Drosophila melanogaster: one gene and its partners. The protein of the gene in region 1 interacts with the protein of each later gene in a pairwise test. Each region holds a gene or a part of one and is shown on either strand. Other genes may lie near its edges.

The links.
Region 2: the proteins of Pez (region 1) and CG2116 interact in a two-hybrid assay, tested with the Drosophila melanogaster proteins (one large-scale study listed by BioGRID).
Region 3: the proteins of Pez (region 1) and M7BP interact in a two-hybrid assay, tested with the Drosophila melanogaster proteins (one large-scale study listed by BioGRID).

What each region holds. Positions count from the first base shown.
Region 1 is NT_033779.5:6,332,641-6,343,440, reverse strand, and holds Pez (Pez), read left to right. Parts: upstream 1-4,769; 5' UTR 4,770-4,793; intron 4,794-4,947; 5' UTR 4,948-5,298; coding exon 5,299-5,383; intron 5,384-6,169; coding exon 6,170-8,126; intron 8,127-8,187; coding exon 8,188-9,055; intron 9,056-9,116; coding exon 9,117-9,335; intron 9,336-9,402; coding exon 9,403-9,579; intron 9,580-9,633; coding exon 9,634-9,957; intron 9,958-10,019; coding exon 10,020-10,148; 3' UTR 10,149-10,560; downstream 10,561-10,800. Other genes in the region: Cpr (cytochrome P450 reductase), read right to left, coding at 372-714, 1,092-1,267.
Region 2 is NC_004354.4:8,125,343-8,136,142, reverse strand, and holds CG2116 (uncharacterized protein), read right to left. Parts: upstream 6,332-10,800; 5' UTR 6,225-6,331; coding exon 4,428-6,224; 3' UTR 4,360-4,427; downstream 1-4,359. Other genes in the region: CG2120 (uncharacterized protein), read right to left, coding at 1-8, 77-271; CG10958 (uncharacterized protein), read right to left, coding at 1,400-3,631; cyr (cypher), read left to right, coding at 8,538-9,082, 9,165-9,453.
Region 3 is NT_033778.4:7,623,031-7,633,830, forward strand, and holds the start of M7BP (Myosin-7a binding protein), read left to right. Parts: upstream 1-5,770; 5' UTR 5,771-6,082; intron 6,083-7,146; 5' UTR 7,147-7,161; coding exon 7,162-7,298; intron 7,299-8,464; exon of another isoform or gene 8,465-10,070; coding exon of another isoform or gene 10,071-10,382; exon of another isoform or gene 10,383-10,800. Other genes in the region: CG43341 (uncharacterized protein), read left to right, coding at 10,071-10,382.

The DNA of each region.
Region 1 (10,800 bases):
ATCAATTTGTCTACGCTGAACTGCTGGCATTTGGGAGATGGGGAGTAATAATAGTAGGTTTATTATCAAAAACAAACTCTTCCGTGCGCGCTACACTATCAGGTTACAGCCTATCTGTTAATTAGGATCCGCCAATGCCATTTCAAATGTTTTCGTTCCGCTTACATCAGCTGTATTAAAACACAACAAACAACTCAAAGCGCAAAAATACGGGGAGATAGCCAAAATTGCGATTGGGCGTGGAATAAAAATCACTTATCAGTGGCACAATGTTTTGATAAGAGGAACGGACTCCGTGTTTGGCGAGGGGGACTCGTGTAATCAGTATGCATGCAGATAAGACCGTTCCGTGTGATATCGCTCGTACTCACCGCATAATTTAGCCCGCTCAGATCGACATCGCCGCTGGTGATCCACTCGTAGAACTCCATGGCGTTGTCAGTGGGATCTCCCTCGCCGTAGGTGGCCAGGCAAAAGACCGCCAGCGAGTTGTCGATGTCCTTCAGCTGCAGCAGCTCCTCCATGTCGCATTCCTCGGGATCGGCAACCATGCCCTTCAGACGGTAACGAATGCCCTCCTTGGCCAGACGGCCGGCGAACTCCTCGCCGGTTCCGGTCTGTGAGCCATAGAAGACGACCAGACTGCGTCCGGATGCCTTGAGCTTCTTGATGAACGAATTGTCCGACGCACTGGTGGTGCACACTGTGGTGGGTCTGAAGAAGGTAAAGATATGCGTTAAAATCTCAGCCAAATTTGAATCTTATCTTAACACGCAGGTAAACACTCAGATCAACGAATGAATCACACAATGGTATTCACACATTCATTTGCGATGTGTGAATCATTCAGCGTCAAATAATGGCCGATCGATTCCAACAAATCGGCGGAACATATGGATCTGTGACGGAATGAACCGAATAGATCTAGAGGGCATTTCATTCAAGAAGCAGTTTTAAATATTGAATTGTACGCGTGATATGCATGTTTTTTGAAAGGTTTATCAAGAAACTGACTATTCAATTCAAGAATTGCCATGGTTTTGGACTTCGGATTAGATTGCTTTAGATTGCTCAAATTTAACTATACTTACTGTATGGAATAGCTCCTGGTTGGCTCCTCCTCCTTCTTGCGGCTACGCAGGAAGTAGAAGGCTGCGCCGCCGATTAGCACCGCCAATAGGGCCACGTCCAGCAGTCCCAGGAAGGGTTCGTCGCCGCCGCCGCTGGGAATTGCGGCTGCTCCATCAATCGTTTGCTCGCTGGCCATGGTGGTACGTGTATGACTGCAAAAAAAGGGCACAGAATTCACGGCGCTTTAGTTTTCGCTTTGCATAACATTGGTCTAGCTCCATTTGCATGTCGCGCACTTTGGACACGCACTCTAATGTATTCCACGTATACCAGCGCTGGCGGCGTAGCATCGCCTGTGCGTCTAACGGTAGTCCGTCCGCTTCCGCACTTGTCTTAGCGGTGCAAGGTACCGCTCTAGCTGGATGTTCCGCCAGCGCCGCCGGTTGACATTGAAATCGCGCATCTGGTTTTAATCGATCGTACCTTGGGACGTTCCCGTTGCACTGACAACTACGACTACTCCGTCGATCACTTGCAGTGCTGCACTGGTGCAATTAAAGCTATGAATTCGATTGGATCCGCCTCTGTGGCGACGCAACGTGTGTTTCGCGTTAGGGAGCACTGCTCACTGACCGCCGGGAGCAACAGGTTTTATGCACGCGCTTATCGAATGCCGTCGCCGGTCGAGAGATATGATGAAAACGAGTAAAAGCGTTCGAAATGCGCTGTTCCCAAGCAAATACTCTTTGAGCGGCGCAAAATAACGAAATTTGATTTCCAATCACTCGATTAACACCTTTACCAGCCGTTGTTCCAGGAAATCGCCAATTGCACTAAGCAAAGGCTTTGGTACTTGTCAATGTGAAATCGGATTAAAATCATCCCAAACAAAATACATTCCCTTTCATTAGGATTCAGTTTATGAAGTACTTAAAGATTTTAATGTACATATACGGTTTGTATACGTTTCTTTACCCGAATTTATAAAAAAAAGCATAGGAAATGCAAATTGAGAGGGTTTACTTAAGCTAGAGTTTGGGTTTTGAAATGCACACTTGGAGTTCAATGAAATTCGCCCCGACTGCTTTGAGTTTTAACTAGTGCCGAAAGCATTTTTACTAGAACTCTCAACTTAAGCAGTTGGAAGTTTGAGCTGATCCCAGGTGTTATCTTTTGTTTTGTGGGGGCTTAAGGAGCTCTACTGAATTTTCACCTTGAATTCGGGTTTGACTTAATGCTTTAATGTTGCTAATGCGCCGCTACGTGCGTGAACTTTGTATAGAGTCGCGTAATAGTTCTTGTTGCTGTGGTCAGCAAAAGGCAGAAAATAAATATTAAACACATGCGAGGCATATGCAAATCGACGCCAGTATCGTCATTCTCGTCCGATTTCGAGGAAGGTATGTGTTCGACGCTCCCGATAACAACCAACACTGACAACAAGTGGAGGTGAACATAAAATTGGCGTCTTTTTATAGGTCACCCATGTGTGCTGTTCGATTGACGGAATGACGACAGCGCAATGATTAAATTGTGTTAGGAAGCACACATATATATCACGAAAACCAACAAATGTTCCAAAAATGTTAACATAAATTCGGTTTCTTTAGTTTTTTTTACGAAACAATAGATCCTAACTCGTTCAAATGTGTATATGTTTCCTCCAAAAACACTCTTTATTTGAGTGCTTCTTTTTCTAGTTTACGACTAAGTAGTTAATCTAAATGAATGAGATGAATGATCTTGGTTATTTCTGCTTAGCCATCTATTCAAACAAAGTTTACGATCTAGTCACAACAAACGCCCATCTAGTATCACCCTACACACTTGTAATGTGCGTGATAACGCTTAGAATCTCGCTTGGCATATGTGATTTTAAAATTCCCTAAACACGATGACACTCTCGAATTACTCGTCCGAATCGACGGAGAATTATAAAGTAAGCATGACTATGCATATTTATTTCGCGCCCAAGTGGCTTTCGTTATCATAAACCTAGTTTGGCTGTCTGGAAAGGATGAAATGTAACTCCGCGCTCACTTTAACCGAAGTCCATTAAATGTAATCCCATTACGGAACCTGCCCTTTTAATGGTTCTTTAATTGGAAGAACTAATAGTCTAGCTTTAATAGGTAGGTAACCCTATAATGGGGTGTCATAACATATAATATAATATATTTATTTAGTTTGTCTTTGAACTTGAATTTCAGAGAACTAATTTTTATCCATAAAAGTTCTTAGGAAGTGTACAACAATGTACAATTTTTATATTTTAACTGATTTATATATATGTAAATATGTATGTACGTACATACCTAGACTTGCAGTATCTCCTACTAAGTTCTTAGTTCTTTCAAAATGGAACGATTTTACAGAGTTCAGTTATACAAGGCAGCAAGAGTATACACACTTCGGCTTTTCGAACTAAGCCACTTTCAATTTCGTTGTAGTAAATTTTGATACTAGGATTTTGTTTACATCGTCATTAATGTGTGTGTGTTTAATTAGCATAAAACAATATATCGGTTGGCTTTTTTCACAAATTGTTTTTAATAAATTGGAAACTAAATGCAACGCCAACTCCAATTGGAAAATGTGTAAAGTTGGTGTACTTAGGATTTTCAAATGTTGATTTTTTGAATAAGGAAAGGCAGGTTAACGGAAATTAAGAACATAGCTTCGTCGCTCATATCGAGTGCTTACTGTACGGGAAGCAGACAGTCGACAGCTGTTCTCAGCGGAGAGCCACGAGCAGAAAAGTAACTTGATGGCCGATTGGCGACCCGAGTCGCGTTTTTGGTTATGCAATTCGGCCTACGACTCGGTTTGAGACGTGAAAGGCGGCGATACAGCGTGCAAATAGCGCAAATTAATAACAGAAGTGAATTAAATTAAATTACACGCAGCGCGGACGGAGTGAGCGAGAGCGCACTATCGCACGGGCGGCGGCGAGGCTGTGCGAGAGCGAGAGGGAGAGGGAGACTGGGCGAGCGCAGCAACAGGTACTGAACTTTAAACTCGCTCGCAGGGCTCTTCTGTGTGTGTGTGTGTGTGTGAGCGAGCGAGTGAGCGATACGGTTGCTCCATCATCTGTCCTCGTCGCTGCAACCTTGACCGCCAATGCAGCGCTCGAAATATCTAAGCAGCAAATTAATTATGGACTGGATTTCGATTTTGGTAATCGGGTTTTGCTTTTTGGATTTCGACAGTGCGTGGCCTTGTGATTCGGCTCCTCGAAACTCACCGATCGCGATCTCCGACTGCGCTGCTCCTAATCCTCTGTAGATAGACGACGATCGGTGGATGTGGATGTGGATTTGTGCCCCGTCTCTGGTGCTCTTCCTGTTGCAGCCCCTCTCAGCAGCTTGGCAGACGTCAAAGCCCTTGATTTAAATTCGCTTTATTCAGTTACGCAGCGGGGCGAAGCCACGATCTTAATTTTAATTCGCTTTATTCGATAAAACGTTGACGGAGGGCGGCAAGTGCAAAGGGGAAGTGACGACTACCACGGCAGCAGCAGTACTAAATTACTGAATTCCAGAGGGACCGTCGTCGAATCGCGGTGTGGATTTCTCAGTTGCGCGCACTTTCCAGCACTGGAGTTGGAACGGATAACAGAGCTATGCCAGCACGCCACCTATGTGTCCAGTAGCTCTGTTAAGTTTGATATTTTACTGTTCGCTAGAAACCGTTATTCTCTTGCTGTGTACAACGAAGTATTCGTGTGTATCAGTGGTTTTAATATCTTTAGGAATTTTATTTAATCACTGCTGACTGCATTGTTATATATTTTAAAATATAAACTGTTTTGTTTCAGTTACATATTTCTTGGTTGCACTTGTTTTCTTTAACAGAACTAAACCTATTTTCTTGCAGCCCACTGCGCAAAGACATACCGATAGTCAATGCCGCCTATCGATCCATTCGATGCCAGCCACCGAGATACTCAGTCAGCACCTGCGTATCGATATCAGCACTTCGGTCTCTTCGTTTTATTTCTCGTGAATTCCTTTATTTATTGTCGTTAACTGCCCAATTACTATCTTTAACTTTACTTAACCAATACGCGCAGTGCTCTGGTTTGCGTGTCTAATCAGCTGATTCAAATCGGCTAATTCCAATTGAGCAATTTACTCCCCCAAAAAAAACCTGTGGTGTCGATGGTGCTGCCGTTTTAGCCACTTTTGTGAGCCCAGCGGAGCCCCGGTGGAGCAAAATAGTCGAAAAATGCCATTGAAATTCTTGAAAAAGTGTCGCCAGTACAATGTTACGTCCAAGAGTTTGTTTGTTATATCAGTGCATCACCTGCTGGGTGAGTAAGCCCCACATTCCTAGAGGCGCTACGCCCCCCACAACAACAACAGCGACAGCAACGACAACAACAACAACAGCAATAGCAACAGTGGAGACGAGACAATAGAAACAACAAGAAATCGGTGACAAAGCCACAACTTAACAGCTGCCGTCTGCCATTGCAATTGGGATTATTTAATTGGGAATGTGCACAACGATTGTCATGCGGCGCCCACTTCCAGTTTAGCTGGAATTCGCCTTCCAAGGCACAGACCACAAAAATGCCTTCACTTGTTGCATTCTAGTTAACAGTCGCTGAGTTAACAGAGGCGCACAGGACACATAACAGCGACCGTTAATTCTAAAACTAACAGACTGCCTATGAGAACTTCCTAACTTTGCGTACTTCACATTTTGTATATTATTTACTCTCGATTTTGGGCTAAACAAAAGCATGTTTTGTAGTTCTTATACACTTAACCGAATGTACTTATTTGGCAAGCGAACTGAAGACCTTGACTCAATTAAAACCACCCAAATTTCTCCAACCATCAGAAAGGTTTTAGACATTAGGCCTACGTTTCGTTAGTTAGGAAATACGACAGATGAGAGAAGCCAATTGAGCGGCGCCGCCACAATTTCCGTCCATAAAACGTATAAGGTCTCGAAAGAGATTATAAACTTTATTTGCATATTTGCGCGTGCGACGGGCAGGGCCAAATTGTTGTTGTGCGGCGAATTTAGAGTGCTTGGAGCGACTTAGGCCGATGTTTGAAGCACGTTTTCACTCTTACCTACATTGCAGACACATCCAGCACAGTGGACTGCACGATCAGCTCGGAGAGCAAGGGACAGGAGTGCCTGGACAACGTTTGCCAACGTTTGCTAATCCAGCAGCCGGAGTTCTTTGGACTGCGCTACCTGGTCAAGGGCAAGGACAAGGAGGACGAGTTCAAATGGATCGACCTGGAGCGCTCGCTCAGTCGGCAGCTGGAGAAGTATGCGGCGGGCCCCAAGATCTACTTGCGCGTTCGCCACTACGTGACCACTGGCGTGCGCCACTTGAGCGACGAAGCCACGCGCTTTTACTACTTTCTGCAGCTGAAGAGCGACATCTACGAGGGCCGCATCGCCTGTGACATCCGCACGGCCATACTGCTGGCGCTCTACTGCCGCCAGGCGGAGTACGATAGCTACCAGGGCGACAAACAGAGCAAGGACTATCTGAAGAAGTCGCTGGTCCTGCCGCGCAACATGCAAGGCCTGGCCAACGATGACAGCATGCTGGAGGGACTGATCGTGGAGGTCCTGCAGCAGCAGGCGGGCATTGCACATCTGAGTCAGAGCCAGGCGGAGGAGATGTACATACAGTGCTGCCAGCAGCTGGAGGGGTATGGGGAGGAACGTTTCGCCGCCAAGGACACGCTCGGCAATGATTTGTTGCTGGGCCTGGCCATCAACGGGATGGTGGTGAACGCGGACAACGGTCGGCAGTATTTTCCATGGAAGGAGTTCCACACGGTGACCATCGACAAGCGAACGATTAAGATCGAGCAGAACAAGCTGGATGGTGGCGGCAGCATCGTGGGAAGCTTTATATTCAGCGAGGCGGACACGGCACGTTACTTCTGGAAGCTCACCATTAGCCAGCATAAGTTTTTCAAGCGCTATATTGACACGGCCACGCCCTCGAGCCTGGGAAGTGGTGCGGATGCGGAGAGTGGTCCGTTGGGCGTTGACAGCGTTGGTTATGTCGACTACGATTACAATGAAGCGGCGGCCGCCGAGCAACTGCAACAGCATCATCAGCAGCAGCAACATATGCAGCAGCAGCAACAGATTCAGCAGCAGCAGATGATTTCCTCCAACATTTCGCTGGCTACCAGCGCTAACCAGATGTTGGGACAAAGCAGCTCCTGCCTGGATTTGAGCAACAACAACCTGCACAGCAGCAGTGGCATGTTGCACCACGGAGGCAGCAACAACAACAATAACAACGATGAGCGGGAGCGCCTCAAAGCCATGCTGCCCACATACCGCCCGGCACCAGACTATGAGACGGCGGTCCAACTAAAGTACCGCACACCATCGGCGGAATTCCACAATGTGGCACTGGCAATGGCCGCGCCCGGAAATGCCTACTATGCGGGCTCCCAGCCTGATGTACACAATCCAGGCATGCACAACGAGAACTTACTGTATGGTCATATGACTGCGCATCGTTATCCGGACGTGGCCCAGCCGGCGGCTGCCCTACACCACCACATCAACCTGTACCAGGCACAGCATCAACCGCAGTCACATCCACAGCCCATGAGCCCCGCCCAGGCATACCTAGAGCTCTCGCAGCGCATGCATATGATGCGTCACAAGGCCCCACCGCCGTATGTCAATCGGCTGAGTTCCTCCTCCACGCCCGATCTGGCCGTGGCCACTCCCCGTCCCCTTCAGGGTTTCCGCAACTACGTAAGCGGCTCCTCGCCGGATCTAGTCTCTAACCGCACGCTCTTCAATGGCGGTCAGTACGTTGCTCTGCCCGCAGGCGGACATGCCGGAAATATTCCAACATCTTCCGGAGCCACCATGTTGCACCAGTACCAGTACGTGAGCCACATGGGGCACTCGCAGCCCTATCTGCCCCCGCACGGCACCTTCGAGAACCTCAACATGATCGAGGAGCAGCCGTCTATAATGTCCCAGCTGCGACAGTCAGCGATGAGTCAGGCAGCAGCTGCAGCTGCCGGATCTGTGGTAACGCAGAGGTAAGTGTAATGAAGTCGTAAAATAAACAATATAACAATACTTTTCGCTACGATCTTGCAGTTCACCTACCCTGCCGCCGAGTGGATATCGTAGTTCTGTGCCCCCGCCAGCGAGCAGCCCGCTTCCACCGCCGGTGGTTGCTTCGTCCCATAAATCGGCGACACCGGCGCCACTACAGAGGAGCTTGGTGAACGGTTCCATCGAGCCCATCTACGAGAATGTACCCCTGCCACAGAGAGCCTCTGGTGGCAGCAGTGGTGCCGCAAATACTGAGGCTATGCGTCAAAGAGCTTCCTCCATACAGTCCGCCCCAGGCGTTGTCCCTGTTCCAGCTGCTCGAAACGCCAGCTCCAACAACGTAGTTACTGTAACTGTCAATTCTCCACCCGACGATGGAAACATAAAGAAGTACGGCGCAGACCGAGCAGCAAGCACGGAGCTGCTGTTCCTGGAACCGCAGGCTCCTAAGCGGACCAATCGAGCCGCCAGTGCAGCGCCAGATATGGGAGCCACACCTCCGCCACGACAACATCGCTCAACAGCAAGCCTAAACAAGTCGTCGACGGTCGACATGATCACGCCGGCCGGAGACACGCTGCAACAGCAGTTCAGTGCCATGAATCTTTCTGCCAACACATCAGCTTCCACATCCTCCATGTTCAACTCAACGCTGGACACCACGTCCTCATCGGCGGCCAGCAAAGACTTAAAACGCAAGAAGCGATGGAACTTTTTGTCACGCAGCAAAACACCCGACAAACAGAAATCCGCCACACTGGGCAGGGAAAAGGCCACAACGGCAGGTCAGCACTCCAAGCTGGCGGCAAAGCTAAAGCTAGCCCAAGACGATCTCAACCTGCCAAATCGTTGGTCCACAGGCGTCAACAAGCCGCAGCCCATTTCTGGACGATATTCCAAGGACAAACTGGTAGGTTAAAAGTTATTACGATTTGGAATCCATTTCGATTAAAGCGCTTGTCAACTTCCAGTGCCAAATCCTAGACCAAAAGCTAAGTGACTCGCAGCTATTCATGGAGTTCGAACGCATACCGAAACGACGGGAGCATGCCCTATACGAATGCGCCCTGCTGGAGGAGAACGAGCCAAAGAACCACGACCCCAACTTTTTACCCTATGACGACAACAGAGTGCGACTGACTCCATGCCGAGACAATCGGCATGGTTACGTTAATGCTTCCTCCATATCTGTACGTTCAGTTGACACTCAAGATGAAAAGCAAATTGTGTATTTCATTGTTGGAACATCTTTTTCAGGCCACTGTGGGCACAAAGCAGCGGTTCTATATTGTGGCCCAGTCGCCACAAGAACCGCTTACCATGCGCATCTTCTGGCAGTGTGTATGGGAGGCGGATGTGTATTTGGTGGTCCAGCTAACCGAGGATATGAGCTATATTCCTCGTAACAGTCATCAGCGTCTCGAGTTTGGACAGGTAAGTGAACCGCATAAGCTTTTAGTTCTGTTCCTCAAAGGTTCTACTTTCTAGTTCCAAGTGTATCAGGAATTCTCACAAACCACCGATCGATGCACCACCATCAAGCTGCGCCTTTACCACGTACCATCGCGTCGATACCGATCCGTTTGGTATTTGCAGTACGCTGACTGGGCGGAGCAGAATTGTCCACGCGATGTGAATCACTTCCTCGATTTCCTCGAGGAGCTGAATTCCGTGCGATTGGCATCTACGCAAGAAGTTCCGCCGGGACATAACACAAACCCACCAGTTCTTCTTCACTGTCTGGAGGGAGGCGGTCGTTCGGGAGTGACACTGACCGCCGATCTTTTACTGTACACGTTGGACCACAATGAGGTGAGTGGAGAAAGGGAATTTATTATTCCATTTCCATAAGCATTATTTTCTTACGATCGCAGGACCTGGATATACCTCGAGTTATCGGGCAGCTAAGGCATCAACGGGATAGCATTATACCATCCCTGGCGCAATACAAGTTCATATACAATCTGCTTATTACCTATTTGAAGCGCACGAGGCTCATCTGAGGTTCTAAAGAATATGGAAAACTTGGCAAGAAGTATTTTTCTTTGTTTAAGCTTAAATTGTTTATATCGAACAAATTTCCTTTAGTTCTCGTTTTAAAAAATCAGTACAACTCCGTTCAGCAATTTTATATTTCTACTGGCAGCTGTTGTCCCTATAATCGTTAAATTTTAATACCAACTAGTTTTTAAGCTCTAGATTTGTTATAAAAACAGAACCCCCCACAATGGCCACTTTATAGATACATACATAAATATAAAAGTAGCGGATAGGTAGTTGTTTTGGCAAGCCAGTAAAAATGCCAGTTAACTAACCACAGCCACAACAATTGGGCTTAGGTTTAAAGCCGAACTATTTATACATGTGTATTTTAATAAATTTCGAAATAAAAACAATAACAAATTGATAAAAAGCAATAAGCACATTTAACTCTTATGCGACGTGCAACGTGTTTTTTCTTAAAAAATTATTCCCAGCGCGCTTCCCCAAAGAAAAGGTTTGAAAAAAATTAATTTTATTTTTGTTAATTTGGTTTGATGGTCCGAAACATAGTTAATACATGTATAATTGTCACATAGGTCTTAAAATATGAATTAAATGTACTTCATGTTAGTTTGGCGATCTGAAGACATTTTCATACAATACGTGGCAAAA
Region 2 (10,800 bases), on another chromosome or scaffold:
TGGAGAGCCTGAATGAAGGAGATTGATTATGGATTCATTAATAGTGTGCAATTTACCATTTGGACCGTCAACTCACCCCATTCACAAGTTCCAATAGATCGTATTCCGAGCCCGGATTCAGCAGCTCCATCTCCATTGGCAATCTTTCTCCGGAGAGATCCTCCAGTTGGGCAAACAGTTGCAAATCCTCGAGGCAAACGTCATAGTTACCCAGATCGTCGTCCGCCAAAGTGGCGTTTGCCATTTGGGATACGGGATCTATGGATCGCATGATGGTCCTCCGCTTCCGTTCGGACTGCTGTTGTTTGGCCAACTGACGATCAAGACTTCCGCTACCGCAGGAAAATAGACGGCAATGCCAATGGAGTCCGAACGAGCGTCGATAAGATTACGCCGTGTTTAATTATGTAGTATATTATTACAGGTCGCAGTTGTAGTTGCTTGCCATGAAATTCAATAGAACAAGCTGTTGCGGTTGCTCTTGTATTATTATTTTATCGAAATGTCGTCCATAAAGTTTGCCCATAAATGAATGATTAGCCCGGTCTGCACTTTAAACGCTGGCGGTGCGCACTTTGAGCCAATTGGACGATCCCTTTCGTGGACTACCCTAAATATGTGGTTTCATATATATGTAGTATAACCATTTTCTTGTCTACCGCTCAACTTTATCGGTTTGCCCTGATAAGACACATAAGACACAAGTGCAACAAGTTCTAATCGTTTGGCTTCCAGTAGTGAAATGGTAGCTGTGGGAGGTAAGCGATCGAAGGTATTCCCCGTCGTAGAGATCATCTAACGCCAACTAGTTCCCACGGACTCAAAGTTCGAAATGAAATGAAAAGCAAATCAAACATCTGAGATCGACAGTTTGGTGGACCAGAGAGCGGCATGGACGGCATTGGGAATATTTCTAAAGGGGATGGATGGGTACTTTAAGTTTATGAAGCAAATACAAGTCATATTTATCTCAAAGATATGGTATTAAGATTAATTTAAGGACTCAAGGGGAAACCCCTCACAAATGTTATCAAAGAGCTCTTTTCATGCTAGGCACTAATAATGATATCAGAGAGCTGTTCATAGTTTAGAGCGGGACAAACTGAGCTATAGACGTAGTAATATTTAACTTTGAGGGGTTCCATTATTTTAAATATTTAAAATCACAAGGTTTTCATGTTCAAAATATACTTTTATTGCACGACTCTTGAATGAAACAAGCTTTTTCAGATGGCGCCCGTGCAGGGACCCCACGTCTCTAAACTATTTCGATGTCAATGTCAAAGAGCAAGACCTAGGCACAATTATAATTTATCATGTTTGCAGTGAAATCGGACAATAATTGCTTGGGATTATGTATGTGCATTGCGGTTGAGGCTGTAATTGAATAATATCGCACCTAGACGGTGAACTTTTGCAGCAGATGGCGCAACTCTTCGTTTTGGCGACGCAGAAAGACGACTTCCGCATCGTACTGCACACGCATCTTGAGCACCTCAACGTAGTGATTCAGTCCGTGCTCCAGTGTCTTCCACAGCTTGCACTTGGAGGCCGGGAAGCAGGCCGAGAACTGGCGCCAGAAATTACGGATCTCCGCATCTGTAATCTGAATGAGATTTACCGCATTGAGAATGCTACCCGGTTCGTGTTCGTACATCTTTTTGTGCATCTTGGAGGTGAACAGATTCATGGCGTGCAGGCAGAGGGCCGGTTCCATGACCAGATAGTGATTGTGACATCTCTTGGCCGCCACCTCGCTCTTGGGTAGAAATGTATCCCCTGTCGACCTATGCTCCTTTTCATCCGGTTGGCCACCCGCCGCGCCCTGCAGCCGATTTGGCTTTTGATCCTTCATGAACACCTCGGCACACTTGCGTGGACTCAATCCCTGCGGCTGGCAATTCGGACAGTAGGTGTACGGCATGAAAACCTTGGTCAGTTCCTTGACATCCCGCAGATGACGAATTCGCAGCGCCGCAAATATATTGTCGATGCGTACCAGGCATTTTTCCTCCTCGGAATACGGTTCAAGAATCTTTAGCAGACGCTCCTCGATGAGGAAACCGCCGCGATCGGACAGCTTGCGAATAAGATTACGCATCAAGCGTAGTGAATCCGGCGGAAGCTCCTTGATATCCGGCTTGCAATTTACGCCCGAGTTGGGCATCACCCTGTTCTTGGGAACCCGGCCAATTCGCATGTCAAACTTCTCCAGAATGTTATTGCGCTTTTTCTTCGCCTTGTTGATGTTTGGAATGGGTGGCACGGGGCTGGACCACGGCATGGCCAACTGCTGCTCGTGTATGATGCGATCGATGTGGTAGACCCGATCCACCAGCAGGTTCAGTTCCTTGTAGTTGATCTCCCAGATGCGATCGAACTTTTCGCGATTGTTCAGCCTCGCCTGATGCGCCTTCGACTCCATATCGTTGATGTTGGAGTGCAGCTTGTAGATGTCCGAGGAAAGACGGGCTATGTTCCGCTTGCCCGTGTTGTAAAGATTCTTCAGGCCACGCCGGGTGCGTCCGATCGCCTCATGCAGTCGGGCCACCCGTCGCTTCTGCTGGTTGTTAATGATCACGTTCTCCTCGTTGCGCTTCTGGAGAACCTGATAGTTGTAGTCCAGCTTCTCGGAGTTCATCAGCACATTGTCGCGCGTGCGACGTAGCTCCAGCTCGAGCCTCTCGCACTCCTTCTCCAGCCGAATGCGAGTGCTCTTGGTCAGCTCCTCCTGGGACTCGTTGATCTGCTGGGTTTGGCGAGCATAGAATTGCTCGCGTGCCCTTACCAAATTGGCCTTCTCGTCAAAGTTGGCATTCATCGCATCGAAGAAGGTGCGCCACTTCTCCACCGCATTATCGGCGAAGATTTGACGCTCCTCCTCGATGGTTTGCCGCAGCATTTGGATGTGCTCCTTGTAGGCCTCCTTAAGCGTCTCCACCTGGTGATCAACGCGCTCCACCAGACAACAAAGATCCTGGGCCTGCCGCTCGCGATCGAACTCGTACTTGGCATTCATGCGGTCCACCTCCGCTTGGCAGGCAGATATCATCTCATCCTTGCGTGCCATAATCTCGGCAATGCGTTTCTTTTGCTCTTCGATTTGGTCCCACAACAGCATCGGCTCATTGGTCTCCTCCAGCTCCGTCCAGCGCGCCTTAATGTTCTCGAAACGGGCCATTGTCTCAACGCTTTCGCGTTGCAGCTTCACATGCATCTGATTCTTCTGCGCACCCTCGAAGAGTCGGCGATTCAGCTCCCTTCGCTCGTTGGCCACCCGGACATTGGTCACTAGTTCTTTGCCAAAGCGCACCAGTTCGTTCAATCGCTCACTGGACAACTCCAGCCGTTGATCAATCGGCGACTTCTGGGCCTGGCAACGTTCGGCGACGCCTTTCGGGGCCTCGCGGAACTGCTGACGCACCCGGTTGAGTATCGCCAGCCGGCGTTCGTCCAACTTCTTCACCGACTTGTCGCATCGCTCGTTAAAGATCAGGCCATCGATGCGGTCATTAAAGGACTCCCAACTGTCCACTGGTCCCAGATCGGGCTCCACCTCCTCCTCCTCCTCGACACTGCCGTCGCTGACCAGCTCCTGGTGCTCCTCCAGCTCATCCTCGTTGTCGTCCATTGTTTAAAATATATGCCAGGTCGAGATTTGGATGAGAATCGCTTTGTTGTGCGGAATTTCTGAAGGCAACTCTGCTCCAAATCAAGGTGGTTTGTTGTGTGACTGGAGAAGTTTGATCGAAGGATCCCGGGTTCCCTTGGTTTCGTGGTCATTGCCCATTTCGCCTACTTTTCCGGTAGAAACAAAAATGTTGTCTTTACGTTTGTTTACTTCTGTTGTCAGTGGTGCCCGCCCCATTAGTGTTGCAAAACAAGAGAAGTGCAGGCTTAAGCAAATATACATGATCTTTTTTTTTAATAAAAAGTGTCTCATGACTGCTTTACCATATTTTGTCAATAATAATTAACAATAAATCATTGAATAATACGTATTTAATACATAAAAGTCTATTTAGTTTTGAAATTAGTTCATCTCCACCCGAAATAATCGTTATCGAAATGGAGCAATAAGTGCTGTAGCTAAAGTTATTTCCTTCTCACTTCCTCCTGCTGTATAGCCCGTGCTGACGTCACCGGGGCCTTGCTAAATGCAAAATGAGTGGAAAATTCCATTGCCAAAACCGCAATGACCCCTTGGTACAACCAAAAGGCGCGATGTTTGACCCCTTGGTTGCAATCAACAGTCCGAACTTGATGCCCTTTAAAATACAGCCCTGCGGATTTGTACACACTGGGTTGCATTCGACCAAAAAACTTGGTACTGCCATTCAAAAACAAAGTCAAGCGAATGAATTCTTTACATGATAGTATTTAATTGCGACCTATATATGTACAAAATTTGCGCGGAGTTGCGGCACTCAGTTATCCTCAGTCTTCAAGGTGATTTCATATATCAGCTCGTCGTTGTAGTCCTGCCCTCGGCCATGATGCTGCTGATGCTGCTGGTGATGCTGTTGGACAGCGTTAAAGTACTGATCCTCGGTTAGCAGCTCATCTAAATCCTCACCGCCATCCTCTGCGTCCACTGCGTTCTCCACCAGCAGGTGCTGGTCATCGTAATCCGATAGCTGCACATACTGTTGCTCGCTCTCGTCCAAATATTGGCGATTGGACGGCGAACCCTGCTCCTCTGGTTGATTGTCCTCAACCAACAGGCCGTCATCCTCGTCGTACTCCTCCTGCAGTGGGCCCATGCCGTCGTAATCGTCGTCCTGGCCATTCATATTGCGACCGGAAATGGATTCCGAATCGGATCCTTCACGATTCCCATCCGCATTCACAAAGCGACGCGTATTGCTACGGCACTGAATCGAACGCTTGTGGGCATCGAAGTAGCTGATGTCGGTGAACTCCTCCTGGCACAAATGGCACACGTATGTGCCCTGGCTCAGATGCATCTCCTTACGATGACGGGCCATCTTGTGAGCATCGCGACACTGCATGCCACAGAATGGGCATTTGAGCATCCGCCGCTTGCCCATGTGAACATTGCGGATGTGCTCCTGCAGAGAGAAATTCTTGTAGTAGGCCTTCTGGCAGTACTCGCACTGGAATCGCCGCTTCTTCTCGTGCGTCGCCTCGCGATGCCGCTTCAGCTGGGTATTCTGGGCGAACGTCTTGCCGCACACTTCGCAAATATGCTCCTTCTCCAGATGTCGGCGCTGATTGTGCACGCGCAGATCCTGCTTGGTCGAAAAGTATAGGGTGCACAGTTCGCAGACGTATGGACGGATGCCCATGTGGCGCCGCGCATGTCCGGCCAGGTACTTGCAGTCGCGATACGTTTCCGTGCAGTAAATGCAAGCATAGCGATTGGTGCCAGGCACCAGATGGGTCTTGTGGTGCTTGGACAGCTTTGATTTGTGCATCACATCTGGGCAAATGCCGCACTCCACCGGCAGCTTCTCGTCCATGATGTCGCTGATCATGGAGAACTCCACAAGGGGTGTGCTATCCTCGTCAAAGTCCACAATGGTGGCTATCAGGTCGTCGAAAAGCATGTAGCGACGCGGTCCCTTGAACTCCTCCAGCATCTTTTCGCTTGGCTTCACCTCCTTCACGCTACCATCATCGTCGTCGTTGTTTTTTTGGCTGACAAAGCTACGTAAGGCGATCTGGCGGGCAGAATTTCTAGCTTTGCTAGCGGGCTGGACAACAGGCGACGGCGGCCTTGGTGGCGATGGTGGCAGCGAGGGTGACGACGGTGGATACATATCCAGATCCTCTTCCACCCTTTCGTTATCGCGCGGATGGCCGTAGCTAGGTTCGTGCTCGTAGTCGCCGTAGTCGCCATAGTCCGCCTCCTGTTCCATCTCCGGTTCCACCTCCACCAAATCCCCCACTTCGCTCATATCCAATTCCCTGACCACAAATTGCGGCATCTGTTCGTCATCCGTCAAATCCTTCACCCGGGAGCCCACTATAAAGTCGCGCAGCTCCTTGCTCATCAGCATCTCCTTCTCCACGCCGTTCTCATTGACGATGATGATGTCCTCTTCGAACTCGTTGCCCAGGTTGTCCAGAAGCACGTAGGTGGCATCATCGCTAGTGTTAATCACACGAACGTTTCCACGGTTGTCTTCGTCCGAGTAATCGCTATTGGCCGGCAGGACGAATTCGATTACCTCGTTCGCAAGGCAGCGTTTGTGGCTCATCCTGGTCACATCAACTGAATTAATTAATTAATTCGCACGACTGCCGAAAAAAAACGTAAAAAGTTGCAAGTGTGACCAGTCGCAGGTTGCTGGCCGAAACTAACTATCGGATACCAGGTATCGATGCAATTTTCAACAAAATACTCGCTTTGTAGAAATGCTTGCTTCCTTCCGCTTTCATACATCGACTCACTCTGCGTAGATCATAGATCATGAAAATCCAACATTTTGAGCTGTAAATGCCACTCGATTTGAAACTTTATTACAAATTCAACGAGGTATGACATTCCATATATCGACCAATATTAATTTTGTTTCGATCAAATAACTGCTACTTTTTGAAAAGAAAAACGAAAATTCGAGAAATGCGAATACATCTATTCGAATTTCGATCATTGCCTGTGTGAAACGTGTATTTTCTTTACTAAAATATATATAATAAATAAATTAAATATTGTGCCGATGAATAGATCGCAAAATATCGATACATGCGCATTATCGATAACGCGCAATTTGAATAGGTGCTTGCGCGCCAAAAAAAAACATCGCTGGGCATGCGCGACGTCGGCCAACGTCTTTTGCCGCTTTTGGCCCCTTCCCTCATTGTTGTTGTTGCTGTACTGACTGTTTTGCGGTCTGCGCTCGCGACTAACTTGGCTAACTTCTGGACTCGGAATTGGCCCGGTGCATTGCATCTGCACACTCGGTGGCGCGCGCTTGTCTTCTTGAGACTTCTTCAATCCAAAACGGGCGTGTTTCGCGATCTCATCCACTTGTTCAATAGCAGTTAGTGTTTTGTTTTTTTTTTTACGGTGTTTACTGTTTCTGTTCGTTGAGAGCGTGCGAAGTGCGCGCATGCGTAGTAGCTGATAATTAACCAATTTGAAAATTGCGGTTCTTCTGCTTTTTTTCGCAATTCAAATTGACCGCATAATTGCGCAAGGAATGTGATTTTTTTTACTGTTTATAATATAAGTGTTATAGAAAAAGAGAAGAAGCTCAACGCGAAATCTTAAAGAATGCTAAAATTGGGATGATGAAAGGATATTAAATTCGTTCTAAAAGGTAAGAATAATATCAGTTATACATAAAAAAAAAAAACTATGTCAAGTTACAGTAAAAACAAATGGTTAAAAAAATATCACACTTAGATTTAAAGAACTTATCTGTGCGATTTAGAATAAGGACCAACTGAAAGGATCGTATAAGTTTATTGACAAAAAAACATCTATACAATTGTAACCACACATGTTATATTGAATAATATCTCAGTATATTAATTTGTAAGATTAAGGACTAAGGACATAAGCCCTATGATTTTGAAATAACTCAAAACGAGTGAAGGGCACCGTCACTTCGAAAGATACAAATACATACATACTTGTATATTTAGTTTTTAAGTAGAGTCCAAGTTATATTGTTAATTGGGCTGATTACAATGCCCAGTCAAGTTAATAAGAGATGGGAATCACAAATACAAATAGAGAGCACAATAAGCGAATAACCAACCATACTAGCTGCCAGCTAGTAACATCACAAAATAGGATTACGCAAAGTTGCAAACGCATTATGTTGATGTTGATTTAAGCTTCGGTGTTTGCCTTTATCGCATCTATTTATTTATTTATTTGTTCGCCGTGCTGCAACATCTTTAGCCCGGTAGCCCCATGGCTCCATAGCTCCATTGCTTTATAGACTCCATCCAATCAAACAAATATGGGACAAACTTGACCCGCTTTCGTCGCGGATTTGGCATCACATCGCATCGCATGGCATCGAAAATGGGCAGGGAAGGGCTACCCCAGATTGGCCTCTCGTTTATTTGGCCATTAAAAATTACATAAAGTGACAGCGTTGTGCCCCTTTCCCTTTTTCTATTAGCCCTACAATTGATTAAAATCATCAATATTGCTAGCTATACCTTTAAATAGTTATTTAACAATTGAAGTACAAAATTTCCAGTTTAGTTAACCCATTTAAACACGAAAGCCCAGCAGCAACAAGTACACACCATGCCCCCCCCCCCCCCCCCGTAATTACTTGACCCAAAATCATCGCTATGCTATGTATGCAACTAATGCATTTCCATTTCGCAGACAAGATTCTCGAACTTGGACTGGGAGTAGGCCAATTAAGAGTTAGCCACGCGGCCGCACGAACAGGTGTCGTCGCTTCCAACACAGCAACATCTAGTGACAGCAGCAGCAACATCCAAAGACAGCAGCAACAAGTGGCATCATTATCGTTTTGCGGTTTTGATCATCGGCGGGGCGGTTTGCCGTTGCCACTGGTAGAAAACGGGAAATCGGAAACATGTTCTCCTCCAGCGCCTCGGCCGCGTCCACATCCTTCAATCTCGGCCAGCTGCTGCCATTGGCCATCGCCATCGGAGTGTTGCATCTGCCGCAGTTTCTGTGTCATGCTGCCTGGACAACCAGAACGCCGGAAAGTTTCATTAACGATACGACCACCACCACCACCACCACCACCACCACCACAACCAAGACCATGCAAATCCAGGCGATGCAGGTGAACTGCAGCCGGGAGCTGCTCGAGATGCATCTGGAGTTGAGCCGTCCCTTTCGCGGATTACTCTACGCCAAGGACTTTCCGCTGGAGTGTCGCGCACGTGGCAAGGACTCGACGCGTCTGCATCTGCGCATCCCAACATCGGGTTGCGGAGTGAGGGCAGAGCCACTGGAGGACGGCAGTCTGGAGTATACGGTGCGTGTGATGCTGCAAAAGGAGCAGAAGTTGCGCCAGAGCACCGACATCCTTAGCTCGGTGAGATGCCAACTTCCGGCCAATGCGATGGGCATGCCACTTCCGGTGTTGCGACAGGAAAAGGGTCACGATAGGTAATTCTACAAATGCTTTAGTTAATGTAACAAGATGGAGAAGTTCTTTTATGATTCGATATATATATATATATATATGTAGAAATGCCAGGATGCGAGCCTTGGCAGCTGCTGCTGCAGTTCCAGCTCTCGGCGCCACTTCGTCCATCAATCAACAGCAGCGGGAGACGCCACGCGTTAGGATCTGGTTAGAATTGGGCGGTCCCAATGGCACCGGATCCGTGGAGGTGGGCGTCGCCACCACGCTGACGGTGAGAGCCATCGTGCCCGGAAACATCGGAGTGCGGGTGGTGGACTGTGCGGCACTCGATGGACTGGGCGAATCCACGCAGCAATTACTCGATGCCCGCGGCTGTCCCATCGACGAGCAGGTGAGTGAAGCGATCAGCTGAAGCTATCTATCTATATGCATATGCATATATATATGGACGTATCTGGTGGATCGTTCATTTGCGTAACAGGTGCCGGCGGCGCGACATTCTACGCCAGACCAGACCGTTAGAAACTTAACTTGGATGCGACGAGACGAACGGAAAGTCATTAATTAGCCACGATCTCGATGCTGTGGGGCGATCTGCGATTGATCGCATTTAACTTTCATTTTTATGTGCGACATCTAGAGGGTATCAATCTAGAGGGTATATCGGGCCAATCGATGGGAAAAACAAGTGGGAAAAACAATCCATTCACAAAGTTCGCTTAAGTTCATCTGCCAAATGATTTAAGCTGCCAGAACTAAAGTATTTCCAAAATTTTAAAAAGAAATATCATAAAATAGTTTTCAGTCGCATCAACTTCACATACCCTGTAAATTTCTATGGGTTGCGTTTTAGAAACGTTTTAAGTGCATTTTGAAGACGACGAAAATGTAAAACAAAAGCAATTTGATTTTCGATTCTTTGCCACTGATTTCTTGATTGCTGCGAAAGGGAAATCCAAATAGATGGGACAACCTATTGATTGGAAGTCTTTCTTGGGATATTTTGCCGCCAAACAAAAAAAGATACATTATCAAAACTAAGCCTGGCTCATTAAGTGTAACAGTTATTACAGCACCGACCATAAATGTGAGGCAAACGGCAGCAAAACCGAAACTGTTAGCCATAATTACGCGATCATCGTTAGAACAGTTTTCGTTGCCCAGCCAACCAGGCCCAAAAGAACTTAACTCAACTCGACTCGACTCGACTCGAATCCACTGAGATTGGCCCAAACGATTAGGTAAAGTGGGAAAATGGGAAAAATGCGAAGAACAAGCAAAGTGTTCTAGGGGTTCCCTCGACTCTCCAGCGCCTCAAATCTCAGGTTCTTCTTGAGTAAATTAGGAGGTCACAACAATTAGCCAACAGTGAAATACATAGAAATATTTATCGTTTAGCATTTTGACATGCCCCTGTTGCGGTTGCCACATCTTCCTTTACCCGCCGCCACCTAACCATTTAGTCGCTGCACAGTGGAACTTACAGCGAATAAAAGTGATACTAGGAAGTGTGGGTTCAATTCGAATTATTCGTGTTTGCTCGAAAAAATGCATATGCCACATTTTAATATCATTTAATAGTAAATATGTGAGAAATACCTTTTTATATACAAGATTTTGTTATATGTTTTTATGTATGTATATCCTACAAGCAGTTAATCAGATTTTTTTCTTTTTTAAGCTAATTAATAATAATAATTTAATTTTATAATTTAAAATTATCAAACAAGTAATTTAT
Region 3 (10,800 bases), on another chromosome or scaffold:
GACGACGACAACTGGCGAGGAGTGCAGAACAAAAGTTTGCCGCTAAATTTTCGTGACAGCTGTTGAGCAGCAAGAATACAGAGAGCGGCGAGAGAGATATTGCCAGTGCGAGTACGAGTACGAGAGAACCGACAACAAACGGTAAAGCTGAAGCAGCGCAACTTCGGCAAGCCAGACTCAGACTCGCGGCTCAAAGCGTGCGGCTCTCCGCTCATTCGCGTTTCAACCTTCTGCACAAACGGAGTGACGCTCGAAATCGAGGAGTACGTGAACTGGCCATAGGCTATGTGGTGTACGATCTTACGAAAGTCGGCGATAAACTCAAACTCCGAACCCCCGCTCCCCGATCTCCGATCAGCGAACCCCGAATCACGAACCTCGAACCTACAATCACAAATTACGAACCTCGAACCGTTGAAGCGGGACCTCGAAGGGCAGCCCTTTGAGCCTTGTCTAAAAAACGAAACATTCAGTGCGATTAAGTTGGTAGAGGGGCCCTGCACTCCTGCCACACTAAACAAACTATATATATGTATATGCAGATATTCGTGTGTACATAATGGGTCACTGGAGCGTGCGATATGCCCAAAGTGACAGCAGCAACAACTACGGCGACTAAACGTGCGACTCATGCGCAAAGCAACTGACAGAAACACAAAGGCGACAATAACGAAAAACGGAAAGAACCAACGGCAATGGGGGGACCAAAGGGGTGACCAGGTGACCGGGTGCACAGGTGAACAGGTGTCAATGTCAGCCGAAAACTAAAGCAAGGCTGCTGCTACAGTGCGAGTTCCAAAAGGGGAACCAATTAGGTGCACACTACATTAAACAACTAGCTGTTTTAAAATAGCGAGCTGAATCATTTCAGCTTAGACCTCAACTGGAGGTCTAAGGATATGTGTAACTTAAAAAATAATGTGCAATGTAATGATTAAGCAAAATTGAAGCTTAGATAAAAATGTTAATCAGTGCAGAATTCGTGAGCAATTGCTAAAACTGTTATTCTTTATCAACAACTTACTGAGTGGACGATTGTACTAAGAAAACAAAATAAATGACGCAGATAATTACTCACTAAATGAACTTAAGTAAAGAAGTAAATGAGCTTATAATGAACAAATGGTGAAGTGAACCTATGGAATATCTATAATTAATATATGTGAAGTGTACCCTCCACTTTCTAGTATGCATGTGGCTATGGACAGACTCGAACGTTCACTTAAATATGCAGTTCGCTCTCTCGATTGACCACTGTAGTTAGCGTGCACTTGGCTCGAACCCTGTGCAACCCCCGATTGTGAGGAATGGCCACAGGTTGCACTTCCGTTGCCATTGATTTTCTGCGTGTGTGCTTCAATATGTTTGTTCGTTATTTTCTAGTTAGCCACGGCTGTGAAAACAACTTTTACAAACAAAAAAAAAAAAAAAAAAAATTAAATAACAGACATTTCACCCGTAAATTGAAAACGAACAAAAGTGAGCAAGTAACAGAGGGAAAAATGAGAAAACTGAGATAACCAAAACCAATCGGACAGCATCGGTTAACAGTATTAACCAGCGACTGGCGGCGTCTCACTGCCAACTTCCGTTCATTTAAGCAGATTGTTGTTGCAGCCCCCAGGGGCAAGAGGCACCCCCCGTTGGAGGGGGGGGGGGGTGGTGTGTGTGGTGGCAGCAGCTCAGTTCACCACAAAAAGAAACTCCACAAAACGCATCATTGGCGTGGAATTGCTTTGACTAATTTCCCAATGAATCGGCAGTTGCGGTTGCGCCCTGTGGCTCCAATATATGTATGTATATATGTACATATATATGGGTCCATGTGTGGGGCATGGCTATTAAAGTTGACCGGGAAGAGAGTGTGAAACCGTTAGTAAGCGCTACTCTGACTGCGGGTCACCCGCTCCTCACCCGCAGCTTGATAAATAGTTTCCCTTCAAATATTTGCAAATGTGCACTGAGGGAAAATAGTGTCCGACTTGGTCCACTTTCGTCCCAAATACCAGTGAAGATGGCTTAATTTACTGTCGTCTCATAGAAATCAATTGATGCCACAAAGGTCTTACTCATGAAAATCTTTGAGGCTTAACAGTACACTTATACTATACTTATACTTATACTTACTTGCCTTGAATTTATATATGCAGCACTTTTATGTCAATGGGAAAGTTAACACATTTTTTTCCCTCTGTACAAATGAGCTGTCATAATTAATTGAGCCATCATCAGGCCAGCGAAGCTTGAGCACAGCCTTCTAGCCAGTTCTCCGGATGGAGTTGACCCATTTGCCGGCGACCCAATTGCATCTGAAATTGTTGTCTAATTAATCATCAGATTAGTTAGTGTAACAACTTAATTCGACATGCCATGCGAATGCCGCAAACAATTGTGTGAAAATTGCACAAATCCAACTTGCAGATACAAAAACAGGCACACCAGATACATACATACATATGTCTATGTATATGTGCAGGTAAATCTGATGCATATTGGGTAACACACTTGAAATGGAAATCAATTTCAGTTGACCAACCTCAACGAAAATGATATGCAAAACGCCGGATTTAGTTTTGGTATGCATGCAAATGCACTTTTAATTGCCGCATTGTTTGGGGAACTGCATATCATGCTGTTGCACAGCCTAGCCTATCTTTCGAATCCGCAGCAAATCCCATTCGGAGAATTTCCACACATCCAGCCGGGTTTCACTCGAAACTCCAAAGAAATGACTTTGGCGGCCCGCAGGCCACCACTTTTTGTTTCCCTTGTCCGAAACCATCAACAATCGCTGAGCACTGAAAATGAACAACGAACAGTCTGGAAACCGAACAACAAGTGCGTTGCTGCTCCGGCCATCCATCTATCCATCTATCCACGTATCTGTCCATCCATAGATACTTCGGCAGACGTACTGTCAGCGTTTCAAGTCTGCCATTTAGTTGGCCAAGAGCAGAAATGCTGCCTGCTGGCCGAGAATTTCTCTTTTTCCAATTTGTGCTGTGTGCGCATTTCGGTTTCGGCCAGTTTCGCTTGCCTTTAGATTTGCCAAATAGTTTTTGGGAGCCTGGGGCCTTCGGCTTTTTCCAAGATGAGCCGCTGAGCCACTTAACCCAATGCCAGCCAAATGGGTTAACCCGCCCCGAATCGATGCGAATCGCAGCACTCTGCGTAATTACGTGCCAGAAATTAGCATATTTGGGCGTGCGAACTGCGGCTATAAGTGCACATTTCACTTTGGGTGCAGCAACACACTGAGATACAAATGTATCTCATGAATATCATGAAGTGGAAGGTGACAGACCAACGCGGATATTTGGGGGGAGCTTTTTGAGATGCGTAGCGATGAGGCATCGCCAGATTCCAGGTTATCTGCAGCTGGGCGGGGGTTCGTTATCTGCCGTCGCATTTGTTTATGGGTCTCTGCCGTAAAAATAAACCAAAATTCCTTTGATTGCAGAACGAAAGCAAACGCTCCCAGGCACACACATACACACACGCACACCATACCAGCAGCAGTACCAGCACCCCGTAGGGGAAGTCTTGAATTTGTGTATCGCGCCGGCTGATAAGCTGCTCCGTAAGCGACTTTTATTTTCGGTGGCCCAAGTGGAGGCAGTGCGGCAGTGCTCGCTTCCAGTAACAAAACAATGCTCGTAACTGGCGCGTAATTAACACACAAAAACGCGCTAAACAAAAAAAACAAACAAACCAAAAGCAGCAGTGAGGCGAATTTGTTTGCCAAAAGTGTTTCTTTCATGTGCGTGAATGGAAAACAGTGCCTGCATGAGACACTGAGTGCGGAAATGGAAATGGCCTAGGGCCGCTCCCGATTCACAAGCAACCGACATACACACACACCACACACCGCCCAGCGGCGACAGCAGCAGCAACATGGCAGGTGAAGTGCCAGCAGAAACATCGCCAGTAGGATGCAACACCAGCAACAGCCAGGGGAGCAGTCCCCATCCCGATCCCATCCAGCAACAGCAGCTGAACTCCAGCGTGGACAGCGGAATTGCGGTGCTCGAGGCGGAGTCGCCGACCTTGAGGAGGCGCCAGCGACTGCACCAGTGCCAACGGATCCTCCAGGTGTTGCAGCGGGATCAACTCACCCACCAGCAGCTGCGCGATAGATTAAGGTGAGTGCCAGATTTTCAATCTTCTGAAGCATTCATTCGATCCAATTTAATATCAGAGGGCATATACATATATATTTATTTCCATCATTCAATTCGATGTTTTCAATTTGATTGACAACAACTTGAAGCTGTGGAAGTTGGACTGTGCCATGTGGCCAGAACGGAAGCCACAGGCAGCTGGGGGATTGGCCTGAGCCGACTTGGGTGCGCATGGAGCCCACAATCTTACGGCAAACTGCTCTGGGTGTATGCATCTGCATTTCGCAGACTGCAGGCGGATATCAATTTATGCAAATTTGCCGGCCTCAAAATGGAAATGACAAAATCTCGGGTGCAGTTAGTCAGTTAGTCAGTCACTCAGCCATGTCATTCGTACAGCCAGAAATCTTTCCGTGAGCAGTCGGAGTCTTCTGGGAACTCTTTTTTAGACAATTGTCATGGAGAAACCCGCTGCCTCTGACCACCGAGCTTTCGAATGAGTTTGCAATTTGGTTGGGAAACTGTGGCGGGGAAGTTCCATTAGAATGATAATGAGGACCAACCCAGTTCGGCGATTGTAATTGGAAAACCTCTTTGAACTATATTGTTGTCTGTTTTCAGTGTGAGGAAAGATACACTTTATAGTTGGATAATTATGCTACATAAACTTATATAACTATGTTATTGATAGAGAAACAAGTTGGAGTCTCTTCATTGTTTTTTTTTTATAATATTTCAGGATAGAGTTTTATAGAATTATAAATACGAATAGAGCATTCCGGAATCGACTGGTTAGATTGTGGAGCACCCAAATGTATGGCCCATTCCATGATAATTTCGTTTTCCACACGAGCTTCGATGCCCGAGGAGCGGAGTGGCAATCTTATCGAATGTTTCATAATTAAGTTGATTAATGGCAATTAATTGCCGTAAGCTTTGCATGCCCAATGGCAGGGCCAATCGATTTCGTAGGTTTTTCTTTTGGCCACAAACTCTTGCCACCATCCTCCAAGCGGCGGACATGTGACTGGCAGCTGCCAAGTGGCATATGCAATTGCATTTGCATAAGGTCCGTTGGACAACGTGGAATGCCAGAGAATAGTGGACGGGGTGGGTGGGTCATAAGTGTCCATATTTCTGCGGCTCAATGGGGATTTACCCGCCAACACCCACCCACCCCCACCCCCTCAGTTGCATGGCCAACAAAGCTCTGACCCAGTGCGCCAATAAGGGCCAGTTCCAATTTGGTTACTCGCCCGCAACGCACACAAATCCTAAAAAAAAACCACAAAAAATTTAAAAAAAAATTTAAAACCCTGGAAACATTTGGCCGTAGATTCAACACAATTGGAAAGAGTGTACACCCGTTTGTGACCTCACACCCGAAATAGTCTTGACACTTATCTGCGACTTTTTCGTCGCATACCGAGATATATATATTTATATATCTCTGGACGCGAGCGGAACTCTTATCAAATCAACGGTCGGTCGGTCGGTCGGTCGGTCGGCTATATACGCGATCCGCCATAACGAAGTGGGCAAACAAAATCCAATATAATGCCCATATACCCCAGTTATATATTGTGCAAAAAAGTAAACAAAACCGAATTCAACTTGGCTAAAACAAACCTGTCGCCGCTCCACTCGCAGTCGGAGTCAGCTGCTCCAATCGCCAAGTTAACTTAACTTGAAGATCGTTGGCACGGGGGGCCCTTATCCACGTGATCCTAATCAGTTTGTTGTATGTTTTGTTTCAATTTGTGCGTCATGCAGTCGGGATTGTTAACGCTGTCGACGGTTTGGGCTTTTTGAAGATGGAGCAAGGTGATCGGCGGGCGGGCGATGGCAATTAGCGGACTGAGTTCGTGTGGCAAGCACCTGAGAAACATATTGCCCGAAAAGTGATTGATAATCGTCGTTCGTAACTGCAAACAGAAATAACAAGACAAGCGAAATTTGTGGTAATTATTTATTCAGATATTTCGCCAGTGAAGTTCATTTCGGTTCAGTGGGAAGATTCCACTCCCAAAATATTACAAAAAAACCAAACAAATTTATAAATAAAACCCACATCTTTAATGCCAACTGAAGTGAATAGCACGATAATTAAAATACATCATTCTTAGAACCACACACACACACAACTGATGCTATAATTTTTGTAAATAAAAAAATGCAAAACCAAAGGAGATTATGCAACTGCCAACTTCTATAGAAGATCTCGATGAAAAAAAGCAAAAATGTCGATAGGAGCTTTGCAAAAAAACACATACAGACATTTATCAAGTTTAATTAGTGCTAATCGCAATGTGCAAAAATAAACACAAAGGAAAACACTTAGGCAATTAAATTAACGTATAAATAACTGCTAGTACGTGATTCGAACTGCAGACAAAGTTTTTTCTAAACTTCTCTCAAGTGATTGCATCTAAACTACGAGATTTGCATACTTAAATGAATAATGTTCTTTAAGTGATTTATGACAACAATTTCATTTATCCTTCTTTGCATTATGCTGAAAATTATTTATCACTAATGGTCACGACTTCAAATGTGACCAATTGCACTGAGTTGTACCTAAAAATATTTATTTACGTGATATTTTCGCTGGGAACTAATTGTATTACTGGTTTACCAATTTTCTATTCAACTTAATAACCGAAACTTAAATGCCCTGCTCAGGGTATATTTACCCATACAACTTCATGTCGAAATCTAGGCAATTTAAATCGAACAAACAAAACTTTTGATAAGGCTAAGGCCAAAGTATGTATTGGCCGAAAACCACGTAAAATGTCCACAAAGAGATGATAGCCGCAAATGAAGAATGTTCGGCTCTGATAAGTAGTAAAAAATAGTTTGGTGTAGTATTGTTCCGGATATTTCATTGATTCAGTATAGTTAGGGTTTTCAATCGAGGTGGAATTAAATCAGAGCTGCTTCCGATAAGTGTGTGTGTGCGTGTGCTTCTGATGCAAATGCCGCGAAATCGATAGCGTAATTGAATTCAATGCGAACTCCGCAGTGCCTGAAGCGCTGGATGCGCCCCTACATCTGCCTCATGGAGCTGCCAATCAACCGACCTGGAAGCGGGAACCTGCTGCTGGGACTCACCTCCGTGGTGGGTCTCATTGGAGGCGCCTATCTGCTGCAGTGTGGCGCCCAGCAGCTCTTGGGGTGAGTTAATCAAATGGGAGATAAATCAAAATATAGCATCCGATGGATACAAGTTCGACTACGTGAGCTAAGCTCCGCATCCGCACGTGCACTTTGTATGCTGCAGATACAAATGCAGCGCGAGATAAATCCGAATAGAAACTGAAACTAAACTTTCTTGACTGCAACTTCAACCCGGTTACGTGGCCATCGTTTCGCATGAGTTGATTGCGTTTGCGTGTGGGAAATGGCCGAGCTGAAGAGATTTGACATAATTGTTGCCATTTCTCCAGTCGCCGTTTTCCACCAGCTACCATTTGCCATTTGTTACTTGCCCCGTCGACCGGGATGGCGATGCAACTGCTCACTTTGGGCATCGAGTGCGTAGCGTCGCCTTAATTAAGGATTGCGCAATCTCCGCCACCTGCCTCCAATTTATGCAGCACCTGTTGTGTCTCGGCGATGGCCTGCCGGTCCGTTAGACGTTTCATAACATTGCCAGTCCAGACCCAGACGAGCTGTCATTGACTCTTCGCGAATCCGTCCACAAGAACGATAGAACCTCGAAGAATGGCCAGCGGAAGTCGTTGGCCAACAAAGGGCACAACTTTCCACCGCCCACCCGCCGCCAGCTGCTTTTTCCTTAAAAAGCGTCACAAATTGGCAATAACAATTGGCCATGGCTAACAACGCCCCTCAATTGTTGGCCTTTCGTCACCTTTTCAATGGCATCTTAATTAGCCGCTTTGTTGACAGCATTATTTGTATTATTATAGCGACGGCAGTTACACATCATTTTTCAGTGTATTAGGGTAATATGCGTATCGAAACTATAAGGCTCTGAGTAATGCATATCTTTGAGGCACAATTTCTTTATATATTTAAGCAAGGAAAAGATTAAAAACATAAACAGAATAATAAAGTTTATATGAGTACCATTTTCTACATACGAGCTTTCAGTTCGCTTATAATTCACTTATTAATTTCCGGGTCTTAAAGACGACATTTTATGAACGACATTCTATGAAGCCAAACGAGTTGTGGAACTGTGGAAAGTCAGCCAAATGCAATTAACTCTGGCCGATGGCAGAGTTTAGATATGCACAGAAATTCTGGGTTTTATTCGCCATTAAAGTGAGAAGAAACCAGTTATCTTGGCCTTGTGGCAAGTGAAAAGCCGCAAAACGAAATATTTTTAGTGCTTTCAAAACCAATTGTGAGAACAATAACAAGTTGTGGAAAATGTTTAAACTAATGCGATATTATTTACTTACTATTGAGCAGTATTGTTTTCGAGTTTGCTTATGGTTAAGGCTGTTGAAAATCGTTTTCTACGTAATAAAGCATGCTTTTAGGCATATGAGTTTTATTTGAATTTAAATAAATTTAAGATTTGGCCAGGTGAATTAAGATATTCAAGATAATTCATGAATCCATTTAGATACGGTCAATGATGATCTCACGAAAGCCGGATAGTAAACTCGGAGATAATCAAAAGATTATTACACTCATATCAATAAAACAATTTACGATGCCACTTGCTCGCTTCTACCAAGAATTTATTAATCTCCGGCTCGAAGTTCTGGGAAATTCTGTAGATTATGCTATCAGAGGAGCATTTGTGAAAGCTTCTGGCCCTGTTGGGATATTAATAACCTGACACAACCTGATGGCTTGACGCTTTCTTGTGCGGGAATATGCTAATGGCGGACACATGAGACTCACATACATACATCATACATATATTAACCCAGATTCCCAGCACAGATTTCTAGGGAATCTCGAAATCTTAAGGCATGAGATCGCAGCTCGAAAAGTTCCCCGGGCTTTATGCCGATGAAAGTGTAGCGGCAACACCGTGGCGCCATTTGTTGCCAAAATAGTGATTAAAACTCGAATCCAGCTAGAAGTCGATTGATTAGTTAATAAACCGCTCACAGCATGCATACATTATATACATAGTATTTTGCCAGACAAGAACCAAGCCAACTCGTTTGCGGAATGTTTCTCACAATTAGCATTTGGAAATTAATGAAGTTCAGGCCAAAAATAAATTAGTCGACAAATGAATGCAGCAGACAGGCGATGATGCTCGATGATCTTCGACCACGTATGTATATCTCCTCCAAAACGGTTCCTGTTCGACCAGGTTTCCAGCTCTTGGATCAGATCGGATTGGATCTGATCGGACCACAGTGATCGGAGAAGAAAGGCGATAAATCTGCATGGAAATGTGCGCAGTCATTGCTTCCAATCCGCCACATACACATGTCGACCCGTCCGACGGGATCGTGGGCAGGGGGACTCCAACTTACGTCATTGACGAGTTTGTTTAGCGCTAGAGAGAGAGAGAGAGAGGCAGTGGTTTCCCGCTCTCCACGATCGAAACCGGCATGGGATACGGCTGTGGCTGTGCCAGTGTGGTTCTGTGGAGAGGCCACAGCTCCATAGCTCTGGCTATGTGGAGCCATAGAGACCCGATCTCAGCTGTTGACCGCCGACTCTCAAAGCCAACTGCGCATAACAAAGGCGAACCTTGTGCGAGAAAGTTGTCAGTGTCGTGGGACGCGGATCGCGATTTGATAGCGAATTGGCATTAAGTGCTTCCATTGGCGAAATCGGTTCAACGCGAGTGCCATGCCAAATCCCAGCAAGCCCACCGGCGCTAATCAGTCGACAAACATTTTGAATACCTGAAAACCCGATCCCGACACCTGGAGAACAGCCCCCCACACCACACCACACGGCAGAGAATCCACTACAGATCCAGCTGTCGATCGAGTTCCAGGGAGAATGCTCTTCTCCGCGGTGGTGTTGTGCCAGGTGGAGCGGCTGATGTGCCTGCCCATCAGCTTCGCGGTGCTGGGCTTCCTCTTCATGGCCTGCACCATGGAAGTGGTGCTGCTCAAGTTGACCAGCACTGATCCGGTGCTCGGACCGCCCGCCGAGGATTGGGAGGAGAACGGGGGCCCGGATGGGGAGGAGCAGATCTACTATGAGAATCTGGAGAACAACTATGAGTACTGGGCGCGCAGGAGGATGCGATTCCATCGACAGCGACAGCAGCAACAGCACCAACAGCAGCAGCAGCATCTGCCCACATAGAAGACTTAGGCTAGAATATAAGTGTATATTTTTAATTAGATCGGTTTTAAGCGGCTATACTGACTGAGCATCTCTCCTACACACCTTGTGTTTTCAATCGCTTTCGACAGCCTGTGCAAGTTATTTGAATCTTTCGCAAGCGTAATGTTTTCGATGACCGTATACGGTTGGCTTTTTCCTTAAATTATATTTGTTTGTTTGTAAGCGAAATTGCGAATTTTGCCATTTGAATAAGTTGAGCAGCAATCCGCTTGGCGATTTCTCATTTCGAGCACGTACAAGACACCCAGGAATTCCCTTCTTCTCTCTTGTGTAAGAACTGTAAGTGACTGACATAATCCGAATGCATATCGAGGCAGACAGACGCACTGCCTCTTAGATTGTAAGTTGTTTGTGATAGAGCTACATGTATGTATAC